2 linked regions of the Notamacropus eugenii genome follow. The protein of the gene in region 2 interacts with the protein of the main gene of each other region in a pairwise test. Links are inferred from orthologs where the notes say so. Each region holds a gene or a part of one and is shown on either strand. Other genes may lie near its edges.

Region 1 (7,374 bases), on a different chromosome or scaffold from region 2:
TGCTTACGGACCTCTTTTCAGAATCATATTTTTAAATGAGTAGAAAAAAGTAAATAGGACTCCAAAGGAGACTAATTATACTGAAACCTTTATCAAAATATCAAAAAGATTTTTAAAAGCCCTGCAGTAAATCATGTTGGGTCTTAAGAAGCTTAAGATCAAATGAGGAGGGAATAGGTATTTATTTATTACTTACTATACCAAGCACTGTGCTAAGTACTTTTCACAAATATTATCTTATTTGCTCCTCACAACAGTCCTGAGAGATAGGTGCTATTATAACTTCCATTTTACAGATGAAGACACTGAAGCAAGGAGAGGTTAAGTGACTTGCCCAGGGTCACACAGTAAGGGGTCTGAGCCTCAGATCTGAACTGAGGTCTTCCTGACTCCAGGCCCAGAACTCTATCCATTGCACCTTTGGTTGCCTCTGGGAAATTATATTAGCAATTGTCTCAAGCTATTTCTTCCATCCTTTCATCCTTTCCTTCCCCGCCACTGCCAATCTATAAAAAAAAAAAAAAAATCAACCTGTTTCCAGAAAAGGATTACAGTAATAGCTTTTTGGGGATAAACTTGAAAATTTTATATAATGGGGTGTTGATATGCACAGTCACTCCCTGTCCTCCCTCTTCTGCTCCCACTATTACAAAGCATCATTGCCTTATAGCGCATTGGAAAGTAAGGAACATTGAGTTTAGAGTCAGAAGAATTAAGCCAACAAAGAGACTGACTGCCTTGGGCAAGTCATTGAACCTCTGTAAAATGGGAATAATAATACCTGTACCACCTACTTCTTTAGGTTGTTCCAAGGCTCAAAAGAAAAATATATGGTAGCCATATAAATGAGAGTTTGTAAGGAAATTAATTTCTATGATTATCTATGGCGGCTGGATGTTAATGGTCTTCTTACATTGTCCTCCAGCCCTGAATGGGTGTGGATAATTTGGGAGATCACAATTAATAACCTAGTTCACTTGCTAAGAGAACAAATCACTGTGGAAGACAGACTTTCAATCTCTAATTGTCAAACTGCCTGCAAAACTATTGGTTTAGTCATTATCCAACTCTTCATAACCCCATTTGGGCTTTGCTTGGTAAGGATACTGAAGTGGTTAGCCATTTCCTTCTCTAGCCTATTTTACAGATGAGGAAACTGAGGCAAACAAGGTAAAGTCACTTGCCCAGGGTCACACAGCTAGTAAGTGTCTGAAACCAGATAGGAACTCACAAAGATGAGTTTTCCTGACTCCAGGCCTGGCTCTCTATGCACTGAGCCACCTAGTTGCATATTTCTTCTCACTGCATCGTCAAAAAATGGGGATAACAGGTGAAGAGTTAAAAAGAAACACTTTCATGTAGTAGATGGGACACTGGGCTTGGAATCTGGAAGACCTGGGATTGAATTTAGTCCTTAGATACTTAATAGCTGTGTGACCCTGTGCAAGTCACTAGCCAGTCTCAAATTCCTCATTTGATAAATAAGAGAGTTGGACTCAGTGGTGTCTGAGGTCACTTTCATCTCCAAATCTATGGAAATCCCACCAGAGCAAAGACTGTAGAAATTATTATAATAAAAAGTGAAAATAACAACTAATAATCTCTTTCTTAAAGTCAATGATGCTAGCCTACCATCAGATGCTTGAGCTCATGACACAGGCAAAGGTCGACAAAGGGATCCTGGCCGCATTAGTTGTGTGGTTTGTTTTTACGTTCAAGTTGGTCCAGGTAAATATTAGGTGCCTCCCTCAGACTAGTCTGAAAAAGATGACAGAATTAGTCTGTAGGAGGCGCCTTTCCAGGGCTGTCCCTCGCCATGGGAGGTCTACGTAAAGGAAGCCGCAGGGAGGCATTCTTTGATGCTAGAATAGGGTAAAGGATAAGAGACAAGATTTAGGGTCAGTGCGTGTGTTTTGTTTACTCAGGTGAAATACCTGGTGAAAGGGCTGCCCCAGGCGAACCTCAGGCAAACTCAGAGGGTGTGGCCGGCAGCTTCTTTCAAGCGCTGGTGATGATTTTTTCGCTTACAGAGTAGGAAATTTACCTTGGATTCAAAGACGTTTAACTGCCTACATCACTGCTGCCATCAAGCCTGGAGAGAGACAAGGGCAGAAGTTCTTAACCACGGATCCAGGGACTTGGTTTTTCTTTCTTAAAAAATTTCGGTGTAACTTGTTTCCTTTATAAATCTTTTATTTTCTGTATTTAACAAACTTCTGAGTAACAGTCCGTAGGCTTCACCAGACTGACTAAAAGGTTAAGAATTCCTGCTCTCGGGGTGAGGATTCGGGGGTTTGGACAGAAAACGAAGTGGGAGGTCTCACCTCCCTTTTTAGTTGGTCGTGGGCAGTCGCGTGCGGGTGGCGAAGTGGCAGAGAGGACTGGATCCACTAGGGCTTTAAGGGACGCCCCAGCTTGGACCCTTTGGCCAAATGGGATTGAAGTTCACGGAACGCAGGCATCTGGAAGAACCTGGTCCCTGGTCAGCTCCCAGAGCCCTAGGTGAAACTCCCGTCACCCTTCAGCTAGGATCCTAGCCATGTAGGGACTGACCACTGAACAGACCGAAAGAGAGCTTTGGGGAGTATTGTGTTAGAATCAGCCCTCGCCGAGTGATAGCGCATTTTACATCGATTTCAGGGCACTAGATGAAGTATCTTCGATTGTCTCGTCATGATATTAGAGTAGAATTAATTATGTTGCGTCGCGTTTTATCTTATTTACTTTCCGAATCCGCCTTATGAGGAATCTGTTTTTAATGTGTTAGTGTATATACGGTAAGTAAAAATAGAAATCCATGTGCTTATCAATATGATCGTTTTTCCTTTACAATTTTTTAGCTGGACGTATTTGTACGTAGATTTGTGTTATACCCAGAGGCAGAAACACACATGAAAGAACACTCATTTTTAAACCCTTGTTCGAGTTCCACTTTACAAAGTAAGCAGCTGCGATTCTCAGATACAAAAGGAAAAGAAAAAGATAGACGTGTTCCCGTCCGGAGAAAGGAGGGGAAACCAGGCTGGGATAGGAGAGGGTAGACGGGAGAGAAGGCGGGGGCGGGGCAGCCCAAAGCGAGTCCAGTGGTCCGCGGAGGGGAAGGCGCACGGTCCGGAGCTGCTGGTGGGAGGCAGATTGCGGCAGGCCCAAGACTATCTACCTCCTTTTAAATCGTGGGAGGGGTGTGTATAGGAGGAAAGGGTAGGAACAGGACCTTACCTTCCTCGTCCCACCCTGTCCCCAAGGACCCACAGTCTCTAGCTGCCATTCTCCAAGACCCGGCCGTCACCAGACAGCTCGACTGCCAACGGCGTGACTACGGCGTTCTGAGCCTGGCACCCTCCGCTGGGTCCCTGGGCCAGCCGCAGCCAGACCCCAGACAGGAAGGAAGAAACGACGAGACGCAGAGAATATCTAGGTCTGGGGATGGGGAACCACTGGGAAATGAATGGACCAAGAGGAAGGGGGCAAGAAGTGAAGGATGGACAATGCGAAATCCCTTCCGAGCAGGCTCCCGCAGGGATGTGGGTGAAAGAAAGGCCATCGTCGGGATGCTGGGCCAAACTGATCACTTTATAGAAAGGGCTTCCCAGTCTCTTCTCAAAGAAATGGAGGGGACCATAGATTGGTCTACCTGGGCACATAAATCTGGGGGTCCCTCGCAACCAACCAACCCTTCCCTTCTGGCTTCCTTCAGCCGCTAGGACCAAAAAACTCCAACCCAATCCAATAAAATAAAAACTATCTTCCATTTCTGAAACACCTGATGCCGCAGCAGCGAGGACTGCAATATTTATAGAACAAGGCTTGGGCCGGGAACCCAGGCCGGACCTGGGGGGCGGGGTTCCCAGGGAGCATTCCAGAGAAGCCCTCCGAGGCCCCACCTCTCCAAGCCCCAGAGGCCCCTCCCTAGCCCGAGCCCCAGCCTCGGCCTGGTTTACCTGGGTCCCTTTGGACGTTCCTTCTCGGCCTCAGGTTGCCCACATGATGTAAGGGGATTGGCTGAAGGGCGGGGCCTCCCTGCGGAAATCTACGTCACGCCGGCTCCTGCAGTGTGAATGAATCAAAACTGCCTCTAGGGACCAGCAGCTGAGCTGGGAAAAGGGGGGGGGGGGGGGGGCGGGAGATGGAGGGAGTGGAGAAGGAGCAGGGGGGAGGGAGAGAGGAAGGGGGAAGAAGGAGGAGGGAGGAAAGAAGAAGGAGGGGGAGGGAAAAAAAGAGCCAGAGCTGCAGCAACAGCGTCGCCTTAACCCGGGATACACACTAACCCGGAGAGCAGGATCAAAGGGATTTGAAACAGTCTAAAGGGTGGAAGGGGGGGTAGGGGGGAGTGCCAGTCTACAAGTCCTTCTGGAGGGGTGAAGAGACCGGCTTTCGATTGTGACTTTGCTTATTTCGTTTGGGGTTTATCTTTTCTTTTCTTTTTTTTAATTTTGAAATTTCTGAATCTAGTCAGAGAGAAAGAGTGAGAGGGGAGGGAGATTTCCATAGACAGCTATTTCCCATCTCTGCCCAAGATGATGCAGAGCTCGACCGTCACCACGGAAGGGTCTGTCAAGGGGCTCCCGGACATCCTCGGTGTACCGATGCAACGTAAGACAACCCCCCCTTTTCTCCCCTCATTGATTTAATAATAAAGAAAGCTGGCAGCCTCGGAGGCTGCATGGTGCAGGGAGGGTAACGAGCAGCCACGGTTATGAGAGGAGCTTGGGATGGAGGGATCCGGGTGGGAGCTAAGGATTGGGGAAGGTTGAGGCAGAATGGAGAGAGGGAGGAGTCTGGGGATGACATTACGGAGGGGAAGTGGCAGATGGGGGAAAGTGGGGTGAGGGGTCCGGCTTTGGGAGCTAGAGGCCAAACAAGAAAGCTCTGTCCTTGGTCTGAGCTGGGGACAGGCGGTGGAATCCCAGCTAGCTCGCAGTTTTTCAGAGGCCAGTGGAGAAGGTGCTGTTTGGGGATACCTGGGGAGGGAGAGCCAAACAAGGCCAAGGGTGGTGGGGGGGGGGCGGAGAATGCCTTCGCCTTGTATCTCCCCCAAAGAGGCGAGATGCGGAGCTCGAAGGAGCCAGTTTGTGCAACTTCACCCCGACTGGCGAGAAGTTGGAAGACTTCCTTCTTCCCCTCCTCCCAGCGCAACTCCCAAGAGGTTCCTGTGGCCCTCTGGGGAGGCCGGGAGCTGACCCCAGGAAGGGTCCCAGGAAAGGGGCTGGGAACAGAAGGAGATCTCTCTCAGGCTGTTTGGCTGCGATGCCTGCAGCCTGAGCCGCTGGAGACTCCTCAGCGTTAGGGAATCTGTCAGTCACATTCCTACCCACCAAGGAATGCTGGGGAGGGAGAGTCTGAAGCGTGAAGTTGCGAGTTAGGGCTTCTGCCTGCGAGCACAGGAACGTTACATCTAGGTAGATCTCGTAGGATTTGATCTGAAAGGGACCTTAAACACCGTCTAGTCCAACCTACTCATTTTACAGATGAAGAAACTGAGTCCAAGAGAAGCGGAGTGCTTTGTCCAAGGTTACAGAAGTATTAAGTGGCCGAGCCAAAATTCAAATCCAGGTCTCCTGATTCTATACAGTTCTTTTCCTACCGGACCAAGCTTTGAGAGAGAGGTCGCACAGGGATATATAAATTTGTTTTTACGATTAACTTGATTCAGTCTATGTTTCTTATGCTCTGGAGCTCTGTATTTATCTGCGCCGGTATTCAAAAGTGTACACGTAATGTGGTACCGGGTGCTGACACTCCGACATCTAAAGTGCCTGGACCGGTAATGGGGGCTCTGTAACTGTGCGCCCGGGCGAAGCTGGCTTCCCTCTGCCACGTTTTGTTGATGCAGTACAAACGTTCTCTAGGTGAGGTTCACACACAGGTCGCTTACACGTCTGTGCAGAGACAAATGGCTTCTCTCGCTACAGAACTGTGCTTATGCCCGCGAGATATATATATCAATGTCGTCTACTCTCTGGCGGTTTATTTTAGCTAAGGACCAACCAGCCAACCGACCTGTCTTCTTTTACCTGCCACTCAGGACTTGCACCTGCTAAGCGTAACCTCTTTGGGTCTGGTTTGGGTTTCTGCACCCTGGAGAGTTAGCTTGAGGGCACACTTTGCCAGTGAGGCAGTCTGCTTTTCCCTCTTCCTCCTGAGTTTTTGAAGAGTAGGGGTAGAGGACCCTGGCGTTGAAAGAAAGAGAGAAAGAAAGAGAAAGAAGAAATCACTATTCCCTTATTATTCTTTTCCTGCTGATGGCAGTTATTGGTCTTCCTTCTAGTAGGCACCTATCTGCAAACACCTCTTCTGTCACACCTTTAGGAGTTTGCTTTTGGCTAGAAGTATGTATGTTGAAATTGCCACCTTTCTTTTTCTTTCTTTCTTTCTCTCTTTCTTTCTTTCTTTCTTTCTTTCTTTCTTTCTTTCTTTCTCTCTCTCTCTCTCTCTCTCTCTCTCTCTCTCTCTCTCTCTCTCTCTCTCTCTCTCTCTCTTCCTTCCTTCCTTCCTTTCTCCCCCCCATCCTTCTGCTTCTTCCTCAGCCCCTCCCCCACCCATATATTTCCTATCTCCTTCACTCTCCCTCCAAGTGTTTGGAGTTGGAACTCTCACGATTTCTCAGCATGTGAGTGTGTTTGGGAAGGGGACAGTTTGTCCTTCCCGACTGTGTTTTAGTGCGTATGTTCTCCGCTGGTGTGCTTGTGTGCGTGTGTATGGTGATGATGGTGGTGGCAGTGGTGACGGTGGCTGGGGGAATAGTTGTCGTGTTGTGTCCACGAGTTGTGTATGCTTGAACGTGTCTGGATTTCGTGTATTTTCAGATACTCAGTAAGTTTCCTCTCTCAGTCCACTGTCCGAGAATTCCTGCTGTTTTGGGATTCTGGTCACCTAAAGCTCCCGGAACGCACTATGAGATACTAACTTCGATTCCCATGTTGTTTAAAGGTGGGAAGTCAGCATGGGTGGAGGCAATAAGAAGCCAGAGGGAAAGGAACTTCTGCCTTCACACATTCGAGGCTCAATTGCCGGGGGGCTACTAGACCAAAGAAGGCTGATTTATCTAATATCTGTCTGTCGGTCAGCCTGTCTGTACCGCTTTTACTGTTTGTCCTTAGTGACAAGGAGGGAGTCCTGGTTGCTCCTTCCCTCAGTTTCAGCTCCCCTATAGATAAAGCTTTGGGTCTTCATCTAGTCTCTCATTTCAGCTTTGTAGCTCTCAGTCAGAAGGGGATGGGAGGGGAAAGGGAAAGGGAAAGGTCAGGACGTGCCGAAACGGATCATTTAGGACCTCATATGTCAGGTTTTTTCTTCCCTCTGCACCCCTATCCTCACATTTCCTTTCCCCTGGGTGACACCGTTAACTCATAGCGTGGTTTGTACGGGGAGGGA
Region 2 (7,250 bases):
AACGGGATTGGAATGTGGTCAGACTAAAGTGCCTTCTATGGAAGGTAGGTGGGGTGGGGGGCAAGAAAGGGGCCCAAACTACTGTGCTCATCTCTTTGGGGAAAGCAGGAAAGCACTAAGGCATGAGTGCCAGTCCAAGGCAGATCAGATCTGGGGGTGTTCTGACAGAAAAAGGAGCACAGGTAGAGAGGAGAGGGGGGATGGTATAGTTGATATTTTCATTGGTCAAGGGCTCTGTTTATTCTCAGACCTCCTCCCCTAACCTGAGCCTGTTCTCAGCCTTCTTTTAGCAAGCATATCTATCAGGGGTGAGCACATTATCCCTCATATGATTAACAAACTCTGACTCCTTTAGGGGTGGTGGCAATCAGTCAGAAAAATGAAACCCCCTTAATGTTTCCTACAAGTTTCTTAGGAGCCTGGTGGGGAAGGTAAGGAAGTAGGACCCAGAGATCAGATTAAAGCTTTAACAATGAATAATTGAAAAAGAAGGTACATATGTGGGTCCACGGTAGTGTCTTAGTTGGGAAGCATATCTTTATATTTTCCAGAGAAAGCAAAAATGGTGCTAGTGCTCCCAAATCATTGCCTCAATGCTCCCAAACTTGCTTCACTACTACCATGAACATACAATAGTGTTCTGGACATTTTAGGCAATATGGAAAACCCTTAGGAAGAGGTCCCCTAAGTCTATTGCGTAGCCGGTTCTTTCCATTCCTTGGCCAGATCTTGTATCTCCTTTGCTCTCCATCTCCTAAGGTCTTGGCCTGGTTCACAGCACTAGACCTGGCTGGATAGATAAGATAATCATCTGTCATCTATACCCACCACCCCCTCCCTGCCCCAACTCCCCCAGACCTACTAGAAGGGCAGGCACCAGGCAGCAGCACCTATGTATGTTTAGATGCATAGTGGGGGCAGTCACTGACCTGTGTCCAGGGGAAAAGGATTGATCGGGACTCTGGGGGCCTCTCCTTCCCCAGCGGGGCATGGGATGGAGTGGAAGGTGGAGGAGTGAAGCCCGACTCCAGGCTGGGTAATCCGGAGCTCAGGTTACTGGCTCTGATATATATAGTATCTTATCTGACCTCAGAGGGATGGCTACAGCAATTCACTCACATTCCAGGATCCAGAGAGACTTAAAGGGGCAGTGTTATGCCCACCTAAGGTGGGGGAGGGTACTGTCCCTAATGAGTAGGTACTAGACAGAAGGGTGACTTTAAAAGAACTCAGGGAAGGATACAGTAAGAAGCAGCACAAAAAGGGATTCAATGAAAAGAAAGGGAAAGAGAAAAGGTGGCAGAGTGCACTGGTTGTAGCTTGGGGTGAAAGGAAGCATAGGACTGAAATTATCTGGAGGTTACATGTTTCTAGGTAGAAAAAAAAAAGAGTCCTGTCTGTCAACCCTAAGTGCCATGCTTGCTTCTAAAGTTAAAAAGCAACTCCAAAGCTTTCTTTTATATGTCTACGTATAAATCCCTTGGCTCTCATAACCAGGGCAGGATTGGTCCCACCACCATTGTGGTATACAAAGTAGGCTGAACAAATTCCCAGGATGCCTTAGTCAAGGAGACATCAAGTGTTTGTCCAGGCGTTTCAGACCACTGCTGTTTCCTTTAGGCTTAAAAAAGTGAGAAAAGTACAAGGTCCCACTGGTGCCTAGGCAAATACCCAACTGAGTCCTACTCTTGATGGATCCATTTCATAGGGCTCTGCCTTTATACTAGATATAGAGGGGAAAAAATGGCATTTCTCACCTTTCTAGGCCTTTTTTTTCATCTTGCTCTCCAAGAGTTTCACAGTCCTTGTCGTAGCCCACCTTTGTGTAGGTGTCTCAAGGCACCTGTCTCCACCCTGTCCCAGTTGATGCCACTGACTCAGCACTGGGTCCTGATGATGCACTCAGGTCCTCATTCCAGTCCTCATTCCCTGACCCCAAGGGGGCATGAGTCTACAGCATCAAAGGGGCTGAGTTTCAGCACTTCCAATCACCTGATCCCTCTCCAAGCTTTCCTTGGTCTCCCACAACTCTGTAAGCCTCAGTATAATCTAGGCAATGGGTCGTTTCCTAGTTTTTCTCCCCATCCTCAGTCTCAGCTCTGTACCAGTGAGATCCAGCTCTCTCATCCTTAAACCTAAAGCAAGGTGGAAGTGGGGATGCTCAGTCCTATTCGAGGTGGGGAAGAGTAATATGGGAAAGCACAAACCTTAAAGCACTATAAAAACGTGAATAACTATTAACGTAAAGTTTAAGTTGCTGCTTTAGATGATGGGGGGGGAGGGGGCGGTTATAAAGATACCTCCTCCGGTCTGAGATTGGCAGCAGTTCTCCTCCACTACTGAACTGCTGCCTTCCCCCGGCTGACAGTCAGACCACACTAGCTCGTCTGTCTGTCTGTCTCTTCTCTCTCTCCTCTCTTCTCTCGCCTCCTCCTCCCCTCCCCCTCCCCCCCAGAAAACCCTCCAGGGGGGCAGTAAATGAGCGGCACACAACCTTCTTGTCACAATAGGCTACAACACACCACACGTCCCGCTCCTCCGAAATATACCCAGGCACACGCCACCCAGGGCAGCCTGGTTCCGGGCACGGCAAAGCAGCAGTACTCCGGGCTGGTACCCAGAGCAGGAGCCGGCCTTGGCACGGCGGACACTCCCCCCACGAGTGTCCGAGCCTGAGCCCTGGCCCCGCAGGGTGCCCACCCCCACGTCCCCGGGGTCCGCTCTGGCTCCGGGGGCACCCCGGGCATTGCCCCAGCGGAGGTCGCTCCTTATCCTCCCTCTGCCCCAATCCCGAACAGGTGGCACCTACCTGGTTCTCTAAGGGTGGATGTGCCAAGCCGAAAACAGGCATGGAGCTGCGGGTAAGTCCCGCCTGACACTGGCGCGGCGCAGTGAGCAACAGCTGACGCAGAGGGCTCCTTGGCCCCGGCTCCTGCCCGCCTCTCCCCACCTCCGCCAGGGGCCCCAATGAAGACCTCCCCGGGAGAACAGCGCCACCCAGCGGGGAATCGCCATACGGCATTCCAGGACGGCCTAGCCACGCCCTGTGCGTCCTTGCGTCACTGAGACGTGGAGCACCCATTGGCTCTTTACTATTGTGACTTGATGGAGCTCCTCCCAGCCTGAGTTTCCCAGGCAACTGATGTAAACAGAGCCACGTGGAAGAGAAGCACGCGGGGCGAAAGGGGGTGGAGACTGGAGGAAAAGGAAGAGAGTGTTGCAAAGGTGTAGGAGCAAGAGGATCCATAGGAGTTATGATTTAGAGTCAGAAATGAACTTAAAGACCATGTAGTCCAACCCTCCCGTTCTGCAAATTATTTGGGGGGGAGCAACCGTGAAATCTGAGTTTTTGACCAATATTCTCCCGGGTGCAGATTGCTACAGCAACCAACCTCGCGTTCAGTGGTCCAATCAGCATCCACCCGACTAGCTCTAAGCTTCCTGGAATGGATTCAGGTCATTCATCTCATTAGCAATAAATACATCAGCCTCCCAACAACCTTCGCTGTTACTTTCCACTCAGTCGGAAGATCTCTCATTCCCCTTCAGCTCGGCCCTCCACTTCTCGCTTCTGAAAGGCTCCAAACTGCTCCCCACCGGGGTAATAGAAATGGGTTCATTTGAGAGTGCTCAGAAAAATGAGGCAGGGAGTCTGTGAGAGGAGCTCAGTTAACAGGAGTTGTATGGGAAAAGACTGGGGCAGAAACCAGGAATTTGGATATTTATGTTTTCATCATTCATTCAGCATTTTCTAACGGCTTTGAATGAAAGAATCATTATGGGCTTGCTTGGTGTTAGCGTTTTGGGAACAAAATGCAAAGTAAGACAGTCTCTGTCCTCCAGGAGCTTATATTCTAATTAGGGGGGATAGCAAATATGTTAATGGTGTTCCAGGAAGGATTTTTTAGTTTGAGAGGACATAGGAATGTGGAACCAATAGAAGAATCAATTGGCTTGCCTTGACACATTATGATGTGGTTTGGCTTGCTGGGAACCTGGAAATGAAGGATTCAGGGGGTCTGCCTTGAAAGAATTTGACCACTCAATCCTTCTTTCATTCTAAGTAGCAAGGTTTATTTGTGAGGCCAATAGAAGCCAGCTAGATTCTAAGTGAGTCTGAGCAATGTAGTAGTGAGGGTAAGATTGTTACTTGTATATGAGAAAAGACAGTGAGAAGATATGGATCAATTAAGGAGTGGTGAATGCCTGGGGTGGGCCAGGTGCAGATAAAATCTGGGTTGGAGAGTCACTGTAAAAGGACAGTTTAAAGGATCATTGAGTAGGCAGGCTGGGATGGACCAGATGTCTCCTGCAAAATGCCAGGCTTACATTCTAAAAGGCGAGAGCAAATATACAGCAGAGTGGTGGGCAGGGAGGAACATTTTAATTACAGGCATCTTGAATGGGGCCATATACTCTTGCAGGAACAAATGATAGAACTGATTTAATCATGATTTGTGCTTTCAGCACTGGAGAGAGTGAGAAGGAAAAATGGTATGAGGCAGCTAGGCAGTTGGGGAAGTTATGGAGAAACTGTCTAGACAGTAAGGAATGAAGTGAAATACAGTTGGGGATTTCTAGAAAAAATGGTAGAGCTATTAATTAGGACCTTTGACCTCCCTCCCTTTAATCCCTCCCCCCACCAGGATAGAAGTTGTATCTCAAGCTAGTTATGGGTCCATGAGATGGTTGGAGAGTGCAGATTTGATTATTGATCCCAAAACAAGAAGTAGGAGGGAGTATAGTTCTATATGCAGTGGTATTGTAGGATTCGTTGCAAGAAGAGCGGTGGATGGGAGAAAAAATCCAACGGAATGTGAAGAATGATTTGGGTTATAAGTCTCAACAGGTAAAATGGACCATGTGCTTCCCTACTGGCTGATGTATCAACTAGGACAGCATTGGAGAACTGAGTGGATTAAGTTACAAGTCACCCAGGGTAGATAGAATCCTAGAATTCTTAGCACAGTGCTGGACACACTTAATAAATCCTTGACTCATGGACTAGAATCTTAAATTCTAGGTCATCATTTCAATTTCCAGACCAACCATAGGAATTCCCTGTAAGGAATGTGGGAGAGGTAATTGACCTCTCTGGTTTTTCTTGAATACTTCAAATGCCAGGGAGTTCACTATCTTGAGCCATGTTATCTATGCTTGGTCTGCTCTAATTGTTGGAAGCTTCTTCCCAAAAAAAGGTGGGCTCAAATTTGTCTCTCTATAATTTCCACACATATCTGTAAGTTCTACCCTCTGCAGTTAGTATACTTTCTCTTTCCCTATGACAGCCTTTTAAATAATTGAAACTAGTGATCATTCCTGTTTTAAGTCTTGCCATTTCCATACTAAATATTTAATTTTTTCAATTGATCTTTGAATGACAGCTATTATTAGAGAATACAAAATGGGAACTTCTGGATGGGAGGCAGGGGTGTGCTGGAGTCATCTCCCACCAGCTCTAGAGAACAGATTATTAAATTTTCAATGTGAGCATTTACACCTCGAAAAGCAGCAAACCCTACAAATTAAGGCTTGATTTATTGTTTTATTAATTTTATAGTAAAGAAGTGATAAAGAAAATGTTAATGTAGATTAAATTTAAAAGTGTATTGTATGTACATTTTTTTTTTCCTGGCGTGATAGTTGTTAAACTTTTACAAGCATATCTCTTGGTAGGAGGGAGGAAAAATTAATTCTGATTCAGGGTTGGGGCCACATGGTATAATGAAAGGAAACAGAGTTAGAGTTCCGATCTTCTTAAAAAATATTTTTAAAATAAATTTTTATTCTTATTTTATTTTTTTCAATCACCACAGAATTCCACGTATTCCTCCCCTTCCCTTCCCTATGAGCTATTTTATATAATTAATGGTATATTTTAGAGAGAGGGGAAAAACTCAGCATACTTGTTAATAGTATTTTTTAGAGAGAGGGGTAAAACTCAGCACAGTTGATTGGTACTTGAAAAAGTCTTAAAAATAATGCAGTTTGTAACACCTGTGGATGGTTTGGGACTATTTTCTCATATCTTTTCATTCAAGTTCTATTTGGACTTCATAATTTTGTTCATTTTTACTTTTGATTTTATTCTTTCCATTTACATTATTGTAGTTAATGTGTTTGTGGTTTTCTTGGCTCTGCTTACTTCACTCTGGATCAGTTCATATAGATCTTTCCATGCTTCTCTGTATTCCTCACACACATATCATTTCTCACAGCACCATAGTATTCTATTATGTGCAACTAGGTGGCTCAGTGGATAGAATGCTGGGCCTGAAGTCAGGAAGAGTCTTCATGAGTTCAAATATGGCCTCAGACACTTACTATGACCCTGGGCAAGTCACTCAACCCTGGCTGCCCCTGTTTCCTTATGGGTAAAATGAATTGGAGAAGAAAATGGCAAACCACTCCAGTATCTTTGTCCAAAATGGGGTCATGAAGAGTTGGATACAACTAAAACAACTGAAGAACAACTACATGTATTTCATTACATTCATGAACCACAATTTGTTTAGCCATTCTCCAGTTGATGGGCATCTACTTTGTTTCCAATTCTTAGTTATTACAAAAAAAAATGTTGCCATAAATATTTTGGCACATATAGGGACTTTTTTTCTTGTTGATAACTTATTTATGATATAAACCATGTAATGGAGTCTCTGGTTCCAAGGGTATGGACATTTTAGTCACTTTGTTTGCATGATTCCAACTTTCTTTCCAAAATGGTTGTACCATTTCACAGCTCCACCAATAAAATATTAGCATGCCTGCCTTTCCATAAGGTCTCCAACACTGACTATTGACATTGTTAAAAAAGTCATTTTTTGCAAATTGGTAAATTTGTTTTGAAGTGAAACCTCATGGTTATTTTGATGTGCATTTCTCTATTAGTGATCTGATATACTTTTTCATATGGTTGTGAATACTTGGTGGTTCTTTTGAAATTTGTTCATATCCTCTGACCATTTATCTATTTGGGAACAAGCTATTAGTCATTCACACATATATGTATATATATACATATATACATATATGTATATATGTATGTATTGTACGTGTAGATAATATTTTATATGTTTTGGATACAAACCTTTATCAGAGAAATTTGATACAAAGTTTTCCCTACTGATCACTTCCCTTCTTATTGAGATGCATTAATGCTGTCTGAACAGAGTTTTTCAGTTTCAGGTAATCAAACTTGTCTGTTTTATCTTTTGTAATTGCCTCTAACTCTTGTTTGGTTAAGACTA

Evidence for each region. The genes of interacting proteins can lie anywhere in the genome.
Region 1: the proteins of USP2 (region 2) and LHX4 interact in binary tests that used the Homo sapiens proteins (3 or more experiments, as listed by UniProt). The two-hybrid records come from large-scale screens. The link is inferred for Notamacropus eugenii from reciprocal best matches to the Homo sapiens genes USP2 and LHX4.

What each region holds. Positions count from the first base shown.
Region 1 is NC_092873.1:465,382,678-465,390,051, reverse strand, and holds the start of LHX4 (LIM/homeobox protein Lhx4), read left to right. Parts: upstream 1-4,373; 5' UTR 4,374-4,517; coding exon 4,518-4,593; intron 4,594-7,374. UniProt on the Homo sapiens protein: May play a critical role in the development of respiratory control mechanisms and in the normal growth and maturation of the lung. Binds preferentially to methylated DNA.
Region 2 is NC_092876.1:279,334,595-279,341,844, reverse strand, and holds the start of USP2 (ubiquitin carboxyl-terminal hydrolase 2), read right to left. Parts: upstream 3,023-7,250; 5' UTR 2,810-3,022; intron 1,952-2,809; exon of another isoform or gene 1,758-1,951; intron 1-1,757. UniProt on the Homo sapiens protein: Hydrolase that deubiquitinates polyubiquitinated target proteins such as MDM2, MDM4 and CCND1. Isoform 1 and isoform 4 possess both ubiquitin-specific peptidase and isopeptidase activities.